Bombyx mori: one gene and its partner. The protein of the gene in region 2 binds, or shares a complex with, the protein of the main gene of each other region. Links are inferred from orthologs where the notes say so. Each region holds a gene or a part of one and is shown on either strand. Other genes may lie near its edges.

Evidence for each region. The genes of interacting proteins can lie anywhere in the genome.
Region 1: MLE (region 2) and Msl3 share a complex: the UniProt entries of both Drosophila melanogaster proteins name them as parts of the male-specific lethal (MSL) histone acetyltransferase complex. The link is inferred for Bombyx mori from reciprocal best matches to the Drosophila melanogaster genes mle and msl-3.

The regions. Positions count from the first base shown.
Region 1 is NC_085113.1:6,770,498-6,774,163, forward strand, and holds part of Msl3 (male-specific lethal 3), read right to left. Parts: intron 3,352-3,666; coding exon 3,250-3,351; intron 195-3,249; coding exon of another isoform or gene 171-194; coding exon 65-170; intron 1-64. UniProt on the Drosophila melanogaster protein: Component of the male-specific lethal (MSL) histone acetyltransferase complex, a multiprotein complex essential for elevating transcription of the single X chromosome in the male (X chromosome dosage compensation).
Region 2 is NC_085132.1:4,384,028-4,387,693, reverse strand, and holds part of MLE (MLE protein), read right to left. Parts: intron 2,413-3,666; exon of another isoform or gene 2,397-2,412; intron 1,252-2,396; coding exon 1,078-1,251; intron 956-1,077; coding exon 876-955; intron 792-875; coding exon 609-791; intron 219-608; coding exon 124-218; intron 1-123. UniProt on the Drosophila melanogaster protein: RNA helicase component of the male-specific lethal (MSL) histone acetyltransferase complex, a multiprotein complex essential for elevating transcription of the single X chromosome in the male (X chromosome dosage compensation).

The DNA of each region.
Region 1 (3,666 bases), on a different chromosome or scaffold from region 2:
ATGAAGTGTAATAAATAAATAAATTTATTCGCACTTGGTCATACCCAAAAAACGTATACGCTACCTTTTCCAAGAGCAGCGAGAGCGGAGTGCGAGTGCTGGTGGATACGGGAGCTGTTTTCGGTGGATGGGTCCAACCTTCGCTCATGGACGAGCCGCTACTTCCCACGCTGAAAAATTTTTGTAAAACTAACCTGTGAATTATTATTATATTCTAAGTTGTTAGTACACAATGAAATGTTTTAAAACTAGGGTTAGGACGGGTGTAGCTTACTATGCTTATAGGTGCGTGGTATAAAGGGCTCTATTAGGGAATTGGCCCATCTGATGTAAGATGTTCTATATTATAATTATTTGTATATTATATTTCTTTAATATATTACGAATGATGATCACTCTAGACCAAAACCAGCTTTTAGGTTAAGGTAGTTTTGAAATGAATTTTTATTTTTTGTTTTATTATTATTATTATTTTATTCTGAAATTGTAGTTATTGTTAATGAATGTTATATGGATGCAAAATCTGAAGTAAATGAAATAAATAAAGAATAGCCCAAAATTAATACCGCTGATTATTTTGAGCCATGAAGTATTTCTCGGTTACCGTAATTTAATAGGATAGCGACTCTTAACGGGACGAGCGATTATTTCGCAGCACAAAAAGGTTAATAGATTTTACAGCCTTTTTCCTTTTTTTTTGTATTTTCATCAATAATACATTTTCTGTGTTTCCATCTCATTTTTATTATTATTATAAAAACGATTTAACGTAAAACTGAAATGTGACCTCTGGGTCTGCGGAGGGACTTCGGGTCCCTCTGTATTTTGTACCGCATGTTCCATGGGGAGTGCTCTGAGGAATTGTTCGAGATGATACCAACGTCTCGTTTTTACCATCGCACCGCCCGCCACCGGAGTAGAGTTCATCCATACTACCTGGAGCCACTGCGGTCATCCACAGTGCGTTTCCAGAGGTATTTTTTGCCACGTACCATCCGGCTATGGAATGAGCTCCCCTCCGCGGTGTTTCCCGAACGCTATGACATGTCCTTCTTCAAACGAGGCTTGTGGAGAGTATTAAGCAGTAGGCAGCGGCTTGGCTCTGCTCCTGGCATTGCTGAAGTCCATGGGCGACGGTAACCACTTACCATCAGGTGGGCCGTACGCTCGTCTGCCTACAAAGGCAAAAAATAAAAATAAAAATAAAAAAAAAATGTGAGCGAAGAGACAGTTTTATTTTATTTATTTTATTTTTTATAACTTCATATACTAGAAAGGCGACTACCATAAAGGCGGACTTAATGCCATAGGCATTCTCTAACTGACTACCTTAGGGGAGTGCAGAGATGAAGCTTGGTAGGTGTAGTGTGAAGGTGATATTACTTAAACATATGTGTATATATAACATTCATAATATTTATAGATACAAATACTCCTACTTAAATAAATACATATACATAAATATATAGATACACATATACATATCATAAATATATACATATAAAAACATATATAAACAAAATACATATTATCAATTAGATGACTCTGCTAACTCTCTGAGAAACAGTTTTGTTAGTGTTTTGTATTGTAGTTTTATTATTTTATTGCTGCTGTCCATAAGTGACACACTTCAAAATGAACCAACGCGGACGTAATTTACGGTAACCCATTAAAATCTATACACTACTAAAATCGGCTGTCAAATTACACTTTTTTATTGGGTAAATGGGTGGACGAGCTCACAGCCCACCTGGTGATATGTGGTTACCGGAGCCCGTGAACATCAACAACTTATATGCCGCCATTCACTTTGAGACATGAGTTCAAAGTCTCAGTTTTTACAGTACAACGGCTGCCGCAACTGTGAAACCGTATTCTGCCGTGTCACGTGTCATACAAAGCAGCCTACCACCAGGAATTACGCAAATACTAATTTTTCGGGTTTGATTTTTATTACACACCATAGTTTGTCAAACCCTTTTTCTGTGCACAATAACATACGATATTTTAAAACGAGTATTATTCAAAAAATATTTCATTTCGTTATTTGTCTTAAAATATTTTACGTTCTTTTTTAGATAATCTTCTTAGCGTTTATTCATGGAAAGCGCCCACGCCAATATCTCAGGAATTTCAATTACGGACGCATGTATAATTGCGTGCAATATTCTAAGTTAAATGATCTTGCTTGGAATTGTATTTCCGTGTACCTACCCTACCTACCGCCAGCGAGTATCACATTTCACAGTACATTACGTAATGTGTACGTATGGGCGTAGCGTTTATTTTTGCACCACAGTATAGAATAAAACTCGGCCGACTTGGCTTCATTTAATTATTGGAGACCACAGATCGAAGTTGAAACGTGACTTCGAAATAACGTTTTTATTGTAATTACCATTAGTTTTAGAATGAAACGCGAACTGAAATAAAATGTATAATATACAGAAAATTTCGTGTCTATGCTTCTTGTTGAATTAACCTTTTATCATTTGTTTACGATTACGATAAAAATGTAAAATAGGACTTTTTGGCGGGAACGCGAGGAGTGAAGTTATGTGATTTGTTTTATTTTGTCTATTTAGTGTTTTTTCAGGTTTAAATGTTTAATAGTTTATTAAATGTTTAGTATCTGTGTGTGTAAAGTGTACAAATGTGGGAAAATGAGACAAAGCCGCTGGACGTAGCTTCTCGGGATCCTCCAAAAAGCCCACTGGAAAAGTCTTAGTAGATAACCACCATTTTACTGAGATTATATTTCATCCCATATCATCTCATCTCATTTCATCTCAGTTGATTAATGTCTCAAATTAATCATCTTCATTTCATTTCATTTCACTCCATATTATCATTTTACATAAAAATAAGATTATAAATTAAAATAAGACTTGACCTAAAAGTCTTAGTTACCAGGTCATAAAATTCCTTAAAAATAGTGTCAAATTGAACCGGCACGTAAAAAACCAACTCCTCCGTTAGCGAGCGGTAGGAGCGAGCGGTTCGAAACTGCTACACGAAATTCGATCTAAACAAAACTTATACACGAATATATAGCCCACTGAGTTTCTCGTCGGATCGTCACAGTGGGTCGCGTTTCCGATCCGCTAGTAGATTCGGCAAAGTCTTCGAGGTTGAAACCCCTGTGAGTTCGTCTAGACGTTCAGTGAAGCTAGCTAATATAACCCCTTGAAGTTACTGGCGGTAGGTAGAAAAAAAACATTAGTGTAAAAAAAGGCTATATATATTTACCTGGAGGAAAGTGTTTCGAATGTCCTCGGTTCGCCAGTCGAGGTCGAAGGTGCCGGCTCCTCGTTTTCAGATTGCGAAACAACGGACTTGTGAGAACGAAGCCTGTATAATTCACCACAAACTTCAGCACAGAACAATACGTTAATTTATAAACACTTGTTATTGTATGAGTTCTTGTCGTCATAAGCAGACTGCCCGTGATCACGCTCGGAACAGCGTTGTAATAACGGGAACTCATTAAATGCAATGATCATGATGAGAATTAATTCAATTAGAAATAGTGTTTATAAAGCAGACAGCCGCGAAACTTTTTTTTTATATATTTTTTATAAGTGGTTACTGGAGCCCATTGACATCTACAACGTAAATGCGCCACCCACCTTGAGATATAAGTTCTAAGGTCTCAAATATAGTTAC
Region 2 (3,666 bases):
ACTTCAAAAAACTGGACCCGTGTTCAAATGACGTGCTCACAACCAGATTTGATAATAACCTTTTAACATTGATAGTTTATTTTAAGACGCTAGTCATATAGCAGATGCTTAACTATATATTACCTGGTACAATTTGCTATTCTGACAAATATTCCTGTGACATTTCTCCAGGTCAGCGCTAATCTCGTCCATGGAGGCAGTTGCTAAAGCGCCCTCGTCTACAAAAAATTGTGTGAGTCAACATGTTTGTTTGTATGGGTCAGAATTTTTACTTTGCTCTCTATGTATGGTATTAATCGGTTTTCATGTGAATGTATTACATCGTCTCAAACTTTTTCGTCTGTGTGTTGCATGTCGCGTGGCGGTCGGCCGCGGAGTAGCCAGAGCAGCCAAGGCCAATATAGCGGCGCCTGTAGTTCGCAGCAGCTGACCGTGTAGTGTATAAGTTATTACTCATTTGTGCCAGTGCTCTACGCTATTTTGTTTGTTTTTGTCAGTGTTTAATGTGAATGTTGTTTGTCAGAGTTAAATGTCTATAACGTGAAACAAAGTTTCACTTTTACCGTGGTTTCATAAAACCACACAATCCTTTTTTTTGTTTTTCTCACCGATGTTACACCCTGTCCAAGCGTTCCAATTCGGCTGCGGAGGAGACCACGTCACAACACCAGCCGGCATAGGCTTCGCTTCTCTCATAGCCTTCGCGCGATCTTTTTGCAACAGAGTCACAGCACTCCCCTCTTGGTTATCTTGGCTTGGTGCGTCGACATTAACTGGCTCGATTTCTAATTCTAAAATATGAAATAGAAGAAACATTTAAGTTTCAAAAAAAATAATACCAAAACAGTTGAAATATTTCAAGTTTAACAACGAACCTTGTAAGGTATCTTCTAATTGTTGTTCAAGTTCCGGGCATATAGCAACTGGATATGGTTTCATAATACCCTCTGAGGATCTGAAATTGTTAAAAACAATTACAATTACCGTAGTTTGTTATGTTATGATTTAAGAACGTCTAACGAAAGACAATTAACAATCCGGGACCACTCATGATCTTCCAACTTTTTTTTTTATTACCTGTCCCTTTTTAGCGTACCGCTGTATGCCTCAATGACTCCAAGATGGTATAGCTGTCTCACGATCGACAGTGCACATGACTTGCTGGCGGTTTGCTTGTTTGAGGCGGTCTCCCGACCGGTGACATTGCGTCCCAATTGACTCACATATATTGTTAGCTCACAAGCGAAACTCCTACAAAAATATTCGTATTATTTTAATATTTTAAGAATCCTTAGTAGTATCGTCATGGCACTCTCAGTTCAAAAGCAGCCTACATAGTTAGAAGCGAGGCATGCTGTGATTACTATTATAATTTCGAGTAAGAAATAGTTTTAAACTACATACATGAAATTTCTTTTAAATACCTACGTATATAATGAAAAAAAAAAAGGACAGAATAGTTATAGATAGCAAAAACTCTATCCGATCCTAATGAGCCATATTTATCAATGAGTAGGCATAAAACTTGATAAAAAATATATACATATATGAACACTACGCTAGGTTAATAAAAATAATAATTATGAAACCTGCATCATTGCTCTTAAAATATGAAAATCGACAAAGTTTAAGGTTACACACAAAGAGTACCCAGTCGAAGCCAGTACGTGCTCAAATGTACTACCTCTTCTTCGTCTTTCTCTCACTGCTGACGATCGCGACCACATGTAACTTTCCTCCATAGTGTTCGGTCATGGGTGGCATAGACCGCATTGTATAGGCTACCAACCGCTTTCTTAAACAGATCTCACCATCTGGCTAGTGTACTACCCACGGCCCGCCTGCCTATTCTATATTGGACTACCTAGTACCTACACGTATCTATATGCCGGCGGCCACATTTTTACCAACGTCAACCCAAGAAGTTCACGATGGTGCTTATCGAATATCATAACCCAAAGTTATGTCCGATTATGATGAATATGCCTATCTTCTATAGCAGAAATACGCATCGACGGACCCATCCGCACGGGTTCGCAACTTGTATGTCAATGACCGCGATCTCAGTTTATTGACCTGATATTCAGCTGTTTGCAGTAGCTGTTTTGACTTTTCTTAGTTTATATTTGACCTTAGTTTTATAAAATTATAGCATGTTAAAAAAGCAGATTTATGTAGCCACCAAACAAAAACACTCATGGATCAGACAGTGTTTTTGTTATTTACAAAAATTTCTTACCTATTTATTATGTAGCCAATTAGAATTTTACGATCTTCATTAAATAGAAAATGTTACTAATTATAATTTAATCTCATGTAAACAAAGTACCTAAAGTCCAAACAAGATGTATTAAGGAAATACTATGTTGCATGCTCTAAAACATATCACAACTTACCTTTGTTTAGATGTAATGACCCATACATTCCAGAACCGTGGCCAATCATTGTGACTTTCTCAATGAGCACACCTGAATTCAGAAAATATCCAAGACTCAATATTGTTCGTTAACGTTGTGTAATGCCACTTTTTTTTTGTTTTTGTTTCAAAATAATTGGATTTTTGAGAGAAAACAATTGGATGAGTATGGGACTTAGTTACATAATAAACAAATATCTGGGAATTTATACACACGGATGGTTGAGAAAGAGGCACAAAAAATGACGCAGTGTAGATAGCTGATAAAAGTGCTCTAAATTATAATTAATGGTTCCGAGCTCAGCTTGCCCCTACTATCAATTTAATTGACAGGTGTTAAGGAAACAAAACAATCTAAATTTATGTACTACATACATACACAGTAATTTGTTTATCAGGTATTATTTTCATGAGCCTTCATAGTAATACGTCCAACCACAGCTTCATTGTATAAAGTAGTGTTTGGCTATCCAATACAGATATTATTATGAGGGCCACTGAAGTTCAGCGTCAATTACTGTGTGGGATTACGTTCAATCTTTTAGTCTTGGATAGTCTTTTTGTCTTGGATATTTTCTGCAGGTTTTGCTCTTCTTATGTGAAAAATCTGCTGAAGCTAACTTTGCATCTATCGCAAAGGGTAGCTTCATATTCTGATAAAATCTTAGTTTTTCTTTGTTTTTTCAATTATTGATTATCCTTATCACACAGACAGGGTAACAATTGTATGCTGTAATAATTATGTTAATAATACTTTACGTACTGAAAATCATTGCTTCAAAAAACCTATTAACTGCACGAAGACATCTTTTTTGCATTCTATTCTATCAGCCTACAGACATTCACTGCTGGACATAGCACATTTGATAGCTATCAGAAGTTTCAATAAAATGAAAATTATTCTTTTGGTTGTTTCACATTCCCTTGGTAAAACATTGCTCGGGCGTCTCCTCTGAGGAGATTTGAGAACGATTATTATGACAGTATGACAAACACACGAACTCTCCAGGGTATAACGGAGTCACGTCTTGACATTTGTACAAAAATGCCACCACCTTTAGACAGAAGACTAAAGCCTAAACTTAAATACAAGTTACACTAATGCAAATGACGGTGGTCAATGCGGTACACAAATGCTTTAGATCCTAGGTGAACCATGTTATGATGTCATAGGAGAGTACCCATGGCATAATGTTAAAATATTAAGGTAATTGAAGTTTTTACTTTCATCATTCTTCTAATTCTGGCCA